Linked DNA regions of Yarrowia lipolytica. The protein of the gene in region 1 purifies or fractionates together with the protein of each later gene. This does not show direct contact. Links are inferred from orthologs where the notes say so. Each region holds a gene or a part of one and is shown in the gene's direction. Other genes may lie near its edges. The genes, in order: YALI1_E04613g, YALI1_F37890g and YALI1_D09504g.

Region 1 (3,071 bases):
GCGGCGCGTCCAGATGGAATTCCAACTTTGAGACCTAAAACACATCCGCAGTTCCAGCCGTCACAGTGCGGTTTTTTGTTCTCAGATCATGTGTCGTTCTAAGTATAAACAGTCTGTTGGTTCATTATCGAAATGTACAGGAAAGTAACATCTTCAGCACTATTTATCACTCTTTGCTAGCCCTCCATGGTCACCCTCTCGCTGTCCGAAGCTTAGACTTCCCATTTAGTGCCGATGGTTCTCTAAGAAAATGATGTACCCACCGTAAGAGACAAAAAGTGGACCATGCAGCCTCCAGTACGAGTATATTGCCGTATCAGCAATTAAATCCGCGGTGAGGAGAAGGCAGCAGCGGGGTAGATATTATCGGTTCTTGTACTGTGCCGTATGTTACGTCGGAGCCTCTCGTGCACGTGGCAAGTCAGCCCATTGTTCCTCTGCACGCGACTCCCTCTCCCCAAGGCTGATGATGATCACCGGGGGAGGCAACAGAGACCTTGCTCTGAGACAGCCCAGCCGTTGAACCCGTCCCTGATTCTTAGTAGAAAACCGTCCCCGCCAGGGCCTAGGAGGTAATATAGTAGCCACTCCTCCCACTCACACCCTGATCATTGCGTACGTGGTTACCTTGCTTCGCTTAACAAACTTTGGATTCTTATCTCCTCTAGACTCACAATCGATTGCCAACCTTGCTGCTCGTATCCATCAAAAGGCTACTTGGACACACAAGAACAGTCCATGTGCAGGTATGCGTGTGGATCGGAGGGTCAACTGACGATATCGGAGCAGTAGACTTCATAAATCTGACTTGAGACGATTTATAAGGGCGGTATAATCCAGTACCTACCTCACTTTTGAATTTACGCCAATTACTGTAGACCCAAAATCGAGGCAGCAATAGTTCTAGAACTGCTTCACTTCCGACGTTTTGCTTCACATGACACAAGAGACATTCTTCTGCTGGACAAACTGTAGGTACGTACTTCCTGTAATGTAGCTACAGTAACCTACACGTGGTGTCCTGGCTGTGCTTGTACATACTGTACAACGGGGTGATCGCAGTTTACTCTTCAGATCACCAATCTCGTCTTACAACTACGAGAACTGTACTTTACATATAGATCTCGTCGAGGGGCCGGGAGAAATATGCCATAATCCTGTAGATAATTTACGGCATCACAAGTACCGGTACAAGTATCCAAGACATTTATTTTCCCCACAGTTGCTGTATATAGCTGGACAGTGTTACATTTGCATATGACGCTACCTGGAATCGAACACACAACCATTGCTACAAAACTCGTACATTGCAGGCTGGGAGAAGTTCGAATCACGTGAAGCTAGATCTCAGATGGGTGCAAAATTAGCCCAAAACCACTGTTGAGATGAATTTTCATATAACAAAAGAAGGGTTGTTGTTAAACCCCATATGCGAGTGTCAAAATAGTCTCTGCCATCCATAATACCCACTACTTACCCAATATATCCCTTATGTACTGTTAGCCCTTCTCACAACTCTAAAGCCAGGGTAACTTAGTTGGTGAAAAATATGCAGACCTTCCATCATCAAGACACAGGTTCAGAAGACTTTCGACAGAACACAATGGACGAAAAGTGGGCCGACGACGACGAGTTTTCTACTCCCCAGATCACACAGAACGCCGATGGCACCAAGACCATCGTGACTCATCGAATGGATGATGGCAAGAAGTACAAGCGGTCCGTCACCATCAAGAACCAGAGCGTGACAGAGAAGGTGCTCAACTGTGTTGCTGAGCGATCCAAATGGACCAAGTACGGCAAGGAGCTTGGAGCTCCTCCTGGTCCCAACCGAATGACCACCACCATTGGAGAAGATATCGTCTTTGTGCTTGGCCTTAAGTCTGATCAGCCCGAGGAGGAGGTTGAGGAGGAGGAGGCAGCTGCTGCCGCCCCTCGTGTCGGAGAGGACAAGGGAGTCAAGTGTCGACTTTGTCAGGGCCCCCATTTCACCTCGAAGTGTCCTTACAAGGAGACTCTTGGTGGATCCACAGCTGCCGGAGGCATGGGTCGATCTCTTGGTGGAGACGAGCCTGCTGGCGCTGCGAAGACTGGAGGCTACGTTCCCCCTCATCTTCGAAACAAGGGTCCTGGTGGTCCTGGTGGTCCTGGCGGTGCTGCTGGTGGCCGAAGCGACGACGACGACGAGCTCACTCTCCGAGTTACCAACCTGTCGGAGGAGGCCACAGACGACGATCTGCGACGAATGTTCGGCAAGTACGGTATGATCAACCGAGTCTACGTTGCCAAGGACCGAGATACCGGCCGACCCCGAGGCTTTGCCTTTGTTACCTACACACTCAAGTCACACGCTCAGGCTGCTCTCGAGGCCATGGATGGTCATGGTTTCGACAACCTGATTATGAAGGTCGACTACTCCAAGAAGAGAAACTAGAGTGGATGGAGGATGCCACAAAAAGGGGAGACGGCCGCTACGGTTGTAAAAATAGTTCTGTTAATACAGTTTGCATGGTGAATGATATGAGCGGGAGTAGTTGTAGAGTGGGAACGAGATGGCATGGTGGATATTAGAAGTGGTTGCCATTTCTGTAATTTGAAGTTGGTCTAGCTTGAAGCTTAGAGATTAGTTCAAGGATTGAAGCTCCTCGGTTGTAACTGTTACAGGCACAGGGTGCAGCTCTACACATTTTGGTACATACTTGGTACAAGTAGTAGCTACCTATAGTGTACTTACACTGTGACTGACAACTGGTATACTTCTACTCAGGTAAGATACCGTATAGGACGGTCATGCATTAAGTGAGTAACTATGTCAGAGTCGAGAATTCTCTAGATCAAGCGCAGAGAGAGAGATTACTCACTAGCTCTCAGTAGCATACGGTACAGTGTACATACCATAATTGTTAGCAGATGGATACCAGAGGTACAGTACATACTATGAGAAGATATACTGATGGAAATCACGTCTGACTCAGTTGTTCTAATAGTTGTGTCTCATCACTGGATAGGTTAACATACCCGCTCGCAAACGTGAAGACGGAACAATTCAGCCTGGTACAACACCATAGACT
Region 2 (2,944 bases), on another chromosome or scaffold:
AGAAAAAGGCTTTAAGCAGCCACTGGATAGATACTTACGGTTGCCATCAGTCAACATGTCAAATTTAATTCTATTTACAATGAACTGTCGATGTAGGCAACGACTAAACCTCAATGTCATCAATAGACTGGAGGAAGGACTTTTCCATCTGTCTGAGACGTTCGGCCATGGGGTGACTGCTTTTAGCCTCAACATCGAGCTGGGGAATAAACACCTCTCTCACCAGATGGCCGACGTAGTCTCCGATGTCCTCTTTCATGCTGCTGGTCTGGGTGATGTATTCGTTAAGATCATCTCCCAGAATCTGTTTGAGCTGTGCGCGAACAGTCTTGGTTCGAACGAGAGGTTTTCCCTTGAACTCAGCAGCTGCAGTAGTCTCGTCGATCTTGAGATCTTCCACGGGCAGGGTAAGCATCCACAACCAGTCACAGTCGACCTTGGCAATGATGTCTTCGCCGTCATTCAGAGCCTCCAGTTTGATGAGTCTAGATCGAGCTCCGTAGCTATGGAACTTGAGAATCATGCTCTTGAGCTCGGCGTCGCAGTCGGGGTTCTTGATGAGATACTCGGGATCAATCTCATCCATAGACAGCATGAGAGGAGTCTCAAGGGTAATGCTCTTGGTGACCCCGTGAGCAGCATCAATGAAGCCATAGCAGAAAAGGAACTCTGCGGCACTCTTATCAGGTCCGTAGTTGATAAAGACCTCATCGCCAGCCTTAATTAGCACATCTTCATTGACAATTAAAACCACCTCTCCACTGTCTACTTCAAATCGGCAATTTGCCTTGGGTGAGTGGTTGACGTAATCAAGAACAGGGACCATGGTCAGAGCCAGCGTTTCAGATCCAGGAGACTCAGGAATTTCCAGGCTTCGAGACACAACCCATTGCTCGGATAAATAGAACTGTTGCTCTGAAACTAGTTTCTCTCCTCCTTTCTTGCCGACAATTGCCAAATATTTTGCCTGCACATGCATTTTCTTGTGAACACACGCCATGAGGAGAGAGGTTCCCTTGAGACTATCAAAGATCTCAGTCTCGGGCCAAGACCAGGGCTGGTCCATCTCCGTACTTTTGGGCAGAGAAGACACATAATCGCTCATACCAGATGAGCTCTGAGAAGCCAGCAGGGCCATGAACAGCACAATGACATCTTTCTCAGATTTTAGCCATTCCAATGACGCTTTCATAAACTCCAAATGCTCTCCGGTGAGGTATTTGTTCTCCTCGGTCCAGGCGGATACATGTTCGGCGTTAATGAGCAGATCATTGGGGACTCTCAGAACAATACCGGAGACATTGTCTTTGGTGAATCTGAGCCCTTTGCCCTTTCCAGGAGACTCAAAAATCTCTGTGTTTGTGAGCGTCACTTTTCCTTCCTTAATCCAGTTCATTGCGTGTAGTGGTAGAGTGGTTTAGTTGAGAGATCTCGTATGTCTCGGGATGGGCTCACTTTCCATATCGTGCATTAGGTTCTGATAATGGTCCTTTAAGTCTAGGTTATGGGACACGAAATTGGGACATGGCAAAAGGGAAAACCCGTACCCTAGTTAAAGATTTGAAATTTTGATTTGACCCTTTGCATTACCGAAATAGTACAACTTCACGACACAACGTATTGAAAAAGATGGCCAGCTGGGACGACGAAGACTTTGAGGTGCCTGCCGCTGCCACCCCCGCAGTCCCCGCCAACTGGGATGACGACGAAGAGGAGGACGTCATGGACTCCTGGGATGCTGAGGAGCCCACCAAGGCACCCGGACCCAAGACCACCGTGGCTGCCCCCAAGAAGGCCCAGCGACAGCAGATCGCCAAGATCGAGCGAGAGATGGCTGCCATGAAGCTCAAGCCTGAGGATGCTTCCACCAAGCGAGACCGACAGCGACAGGCCGAGCTCGACTCCGACATGATGAACGCTTCTGAGCTGTTTGGTGGCACTGGAGGTATTGCTGACAGCGCTGCAAAGGCTGAGGCCGCTCCTGCTCCCGCTGCCCCTGCCGCTCCCATGAAGTTGTCGGATCTGGCAATCTTCCACCCCAAGGAGAAGAAGGACTTCACCAACCTCAAGGAGACTCTGGCCCCCATCCTCACAGACCTTAACAAGACCAGCCCACTGGCCTACCCCGACTTTGCCATCACCTTCACCAAGGCTCTGGCTGAGCCCCTCAAGGTCGAGCAGCTCCGAAAGCTCATCTCTACCCTGAACGCTTACCAGAATGAGAAGATTCGAGAGGAGAAGGCTGCTCGAGGTAAGAAGAAGAAGCCCGGTCTTGCTGCTGCCTCCGCCAAGATCAATGACGATAAGGATACTTCTACCTTCAACGACAACTTCGATGATTTTGACGATTTCATGTAAGTGGACTCGGAATGCGGATTTGTGCCACTGGGGTGGCTGCGGTATGCTTTTGACCTGATTGCTACATTTGGCAAAGGGTCTCTAACGCATATGCAGACGGACCTTTGTTAGAGGTGGTGTAATGTAATGTTTGATGACCTGCCATGCCATGGTACTTCAGACGTCATGTAGTTAATATTATGTAGTCTGGTGCGAACAAGATGGAAATATGGCCTGTAGACTTGTACTGTACGAACGGGCCTACAGCTCGTTGGTATGAGCAGGAACACTTTTCAAGAATATGACGGGTCGCCCGGATAGTAACAATGAAGTTGCATTGGCGACACAATATATATCGCTTTTCCCTCATTCTGGTTGCTTCATCTTCCTATAGCTACTGTACCACCAGTACGAGTGTCCTCCTCTTGCACACTTAACACCCCAGATACACTTCATGCAGTGCAGAACACGCCAAAACTCTCCTACAGTCTCACACATCAGACAACATGATCTGTATAGAATGTACAGAACCGGTGTCATCATTATACACGGAGTACTCAACCGATAACATTCGACTCACTGCATGCTCCAAATGTAACAAATTCGC
Region 3 (3,787 bases), on another chromosome or scaffold:
GACATGCCGACCTGGAAGAACTGGATGTTGTTTTCCTTCATGAACTGCAGGTTTTCATCGGGGTAGATTTCCGGAATAAGCACGAGAATGCTCTTGAGCTTGAGCCGCTTGAGATATTCAAAGTTCTCGGGCCGCGGGAACGACGACCGGTATATTTGGCCCACCACAATTGAGAAGTTTTCGGGCACCTCCCAACCCCCGTCTGGCGGCGTCATCAGTTTCATTGCCGGCAGCGTGACTCCGGTTTTTTGCTGGGTGATTCGCACGGGCTGATTTGCCTGGTGGAGAGCTCGCTGCACCTTTTGCAGTTCAGACACGTCCTGGTCGTCCACGGAGCCTTCGGCCACGTCAATTTCGGCCTTGGCCATGTCCATGGCGTCCTTCTGCGCCTTGATTTGCGCCTCGGTCTCCTTCTCATGCGATTCCTGGATCTCACCAGACGTCTTGTCTAACTCGCCAGAATCCTCGGCATCTTGAGTCACCTCCTCCTTGATCCGGGTGTCCAGAGAAACCGTCTGGATCGCCTCGGCGTTGTCGTGCACGGCCGCAAGAGTGTCGGCCAGGGTCATTGGTATGTGTATTTGTGTCTTTGAGCGGGTCTTGTGTCGGGCGGGGCAGATGCAACAACGGTGTGTTACAACATGTTTTGCGTCGTTGAACAGCGGAAATGGGCGAAAAAAGAGTTGAAGAAGGTAGCAGGCGGGATGGGAAGTATGTGCTCGAAGGCGGGACACCGATCGTGTGGTTGGCACAGCTGTACAAACCGATTTGATGACGTTTCTTGAAGACAGTGTTCCTCCAAGCAGGACCAGATGTTGAGCTTAAAGTTAATGCAAAAGTGGTGGTGAGAGGACGTAGCACGGTTGCACCAGAAGGGGCCCCAAAGGTCGCACAGATAATCTGAAAAGTTCATTTTGTTCCCCGTGTCGTTTTTACCAAATTTTCCTCTTTAAATATTTCTCACGGCTTACAAATAACCACTTGTACCCATTTGGCTCACCACCAAGCAAAGTTCAGACGAGCAATGCACGTGGGTCATAATTGCTGTATAGGGCCAACCGTCGAAAAGGGCTATTGTTTGGGTGTCTCGGGTGAGCAGAGGAGAAGAGTGGATTATGTAAGCGTTGAGAGAGAGAAAGAGGGGAGGTGTACATGGCGAGATCGTGCGTTCGTTTACCTGTGCACATTACTAAAACTGGAGGAGCCGGATGTCAATGAGAGACCAGTTACAGTACTGTATCGGGTATATCACCTTTCGACACAGCTACCAGTGCCAACTCGTACTCGTACTCCTCTTACCGGTACTTGCCCTAATTTGAACTCCCGTGATAGATATCTCCGGTCACGTCATATATATCGCGGGTCACGTGACCATCCACACCACCGTCTATCTGATGAACGCAGAGCCCAGCCCAGTCTCATGTCTACAATGAGCACATTTGAGCACCGCTTGGCTGATGTCTGCACACTGGTTTAGTTGACTTATGTACGCTGAATTAGTTAAGATAGGCTTAACAAGAACATGTCCGTGGATGGAGGTTCGTGTCTCAGTGCTTTTTGGAGGTTTGAGAGCAAGCAAAAATCAAGACAGGCGATTATATATGCCACTGACAACCCTATCTGATTAGCATCATATCCGTACAATACTACACTGGCGCAGTTCGAGTACTTGTGCCCGTACCTGTATTGCCACTTTGCTGCCTCATCGAGACTATGCATAGTTTTAGGAAGGTGTGAGATTTCTAGGGTCTGGGCAAATCAGGGTGAAAAAGTCTATTTGGAAGGAAAATGAATGATTTTGGACGATATTCGATTGAATATTTGTTCTAAAGATATAAATCATACATCCTGGTGGTCGATGGACTATATATTTATACTCCAGTGTCGTGCTCCACCTCCCTTCGCTTACTAAGTTCACTTTAAGATGCAAATGCAAAATAAAAATTTGCGACCCACATCACGTTGCACACAGTAGTTCTACTTTCTGCTTATGCATTATTCGACCGTGCCAGCAGCTCGCAAACCCACGATTCCCCAAAAACAAACCCGCCGGTGTACGTGAATGTACATTAGATAAAAACCCCGACACAAAAACAACTACTTCACCACCAACTTCACCATGTCCATGATCAACATCAGACGAGATAACCCCGACCCCTTCTACCGGTACAAGATGCCTGCCATCACCTCCAAGATCGAGGGTCGAGGTAACGGTATCAAGACTGCCGTGATCAACGGTTCTGACGTTGCCCGAGCTCTTAACCGACCTCCTTCTTACGTCATTAAGTACTTTGGTATCGAGCTTGGAGCCCAGACCCAGATCTCCGAGGACAAGGACCGATACCTGGTCAATGGTCAGCACGACGCTGCCTCTCTGCAGGACACTCTGGACGGTTTCATCAACCGGTTCGTGCTCTGTGAGGCCTGCAAGAACCCCGAGACTGAGCTCATCATCACCAAGAACGGAGACATTACCCGAGACTGTAAGGCCTGTGGTAAGCGAACTCCCGTGGACATCCGACACAAACTCGCCACCTTCATCGTCAAGAACCCTCCCTCGCAAGCCAAGGGTAAGAAGGGTGCTGCTGGAGCTGCCTCCAACACCTCTGCTCAGGCCCCTGATGTGGACGACAACGAGGACGGCGAACCCTCTGACGACGAGCTGACCAAGCGAATCAACGCCGAGGCATCCGAGCTTCCCGCCGCCGCTACCCGAGCCGACGACGATACCTGGACTGTCGACACTTCTGCCGAGGCCGTTGCTGCCCGACAGCGAGAGGTCGAGCAGGGTGTTGCCGGCATCGCCCTGGAGGAGAACGATGCCTACACCATCTTTGGAGAGTGGTGTTCCGAGGGTGAACCCAGCGACGTGGAGATCTACAAGAAGGCCATTGAGCTGGGTATTTCTGACGATTCCAAGACCGTCCAGGTTCTGCCCCAGGTCATTTTCGACAAGGACATTGTCAAGCAGATTGATGAGCACAAAGGTCTGCTGACCAAGATTGTGGCTTCCGACGAGCACGAAAAGGCCTTGCTTGGTGGTATTGAGCGTCTCGTTGGCCTTACCCACCCCGATCTCATCCCCGCCGTGCCCAAGATCCTTTTCAAGCTCTACGAGCTCGATCTCGTGTCCGAGGAGGTGGCCAAGAAGTGGGGAACCAAGGTGTCCAAGCGATACGTCGACAAGGAGACCTCCAAGAAGGTGCGAAAGGCTGCCAAGCCGTTCATTGACTGGCTCGATGAGGCTGAGGAGGAGTCTGACAGTGATGACGAGTAAACGGTGCATTTGGTGCCAACTGACAAATAGAGGATAGACCTCAAGCATGTAGCATATGTACGGAAGCGAGCAACCAGCCGTCGGCGAGTTGCGAGCGGACAACAACCAACAGTGACTAGCCCTAGGCGAGTGCACGACAGTATGTATAAATAAAATAAGAGTGACTTGTGAGTAACAGTGGGCGACATCATCTACTACCAGTGGTATAAGTAGCGAACGAGCTGTATGCGAGAGATTGACAGTATTCAGGGAGTCGAAGTAGGCAGACTGCAACCATTACCGATCTTGTCTTAGGTGAGTGAATAACGGTAAGTGAATGGGGAAAATGGTAGAGTGGACACACAAATCACTTGTAGTGGCAGTTACGAGGTGAGTGAACAACTGGATCGTGTGAAAAACACTCGTATAGTTCGTTACACTAGAGGAATGGCGGCTCCAACACATCTGTGGGTACCAAAACCGTCTTAGATTGTCTCCTGACGATATCAACATCGACATCATCTCATCAAC

The links.
Region 2: the proteins of YALI1_E04613g (region 1) and YALI1_F37890g purify together in Saccharomyces cerevisiae (affinity purification with mass spectrometry; 5 studies listed by BioGRID, with this or other methods). This does not show direct contact. The link is inferred for Yarrowia lipolytica from reciprocal best matches to the Saccharomyces cerevisiae genes TIF35 and HCR1.
Region 3: the proteins of YALI1_E04613g (region 1) and YALI1_D09504g purify together in Saccharomyces cerevisiae (affinity purification with mass spectrometry; 4 studies listed by BioGRID). This does not show direct contact. The link is inferred for Yarrowia lipolytica from reciprocal best matches to the Saccharomyces cerevisiae genes TIF35 and TIF5.

What each region holds. Positions count from the first base shown.
Region 1 is NC_090774.1:459,816-462,886, reverse strand, and holds YALI1_E04613g (uncharacterized protein), read left to right. Parts: upstream 1-1,549; coding exon 1,550-2,434; downstream 2,435-3,071. UniProt on the Saccharomyces cerevisiae protein: RNA-binding component of the eukaryotic translation initiation factor 3 (eIF-3) complex, which is involved in protein synthesis of a specialized repertoire of mRNAs and, together with other initiation factors, stimulates binding of mRNA and methionyl-tRNAi to the 40S ribosome.
Region 2 is NC_090775.1:3,787,700-3,790,643, reverse strand, and holds YALI1_F37890g (uncharacterized protein), read left to right. Parts: upstream 1-1,629; coding exon 1,630-2,358; downstream 2,359-2,944. Other genes in the region: YALI1_F37892g (uncharacterized protein), read right to left, coding at 104-1,396; YALI1_F37878g (uncharacterized protein), read left to right, coding at 2,844-2,944. UniProt on the Saccharomyces cerevisiae protein: Component of the eukaryotic translation initiation factor 3 (eIF-3) complex, which is involved in protein synthesis of a specialized repertoire of mRNAs and, together with other initiation factors, stimulates binding of mRNA and methionyl-tRNAi to the 40S ribosome.
Region 3 is NC_090773.1:948,307-952,093, forward strand, and holds YALI1_D09504g (uncharacterized protein), read left to right. Parts: upstream 1-2,119; coding exon 2,120-3,277; downstream 3,278-3,787. Other genes in the region: YALI1_D09488g (uncharacterized protein), read right to left, coding at 1-569; YALI1_D09493g (uncharacterized protein), read left to right, coding at 1,025-1,477. UniProt on the Saccharomyces cerevisiae protein: Catalyzes the hydrolysis of GTP bound to the 40S ribosomal initiation complex (40S.mRNA.Met-tRNA[F].eIF-2.GTP) with the subsequent joining of a 60S ribosomal subunit resulting in the release of eIF-2 and the guanine nucleotide.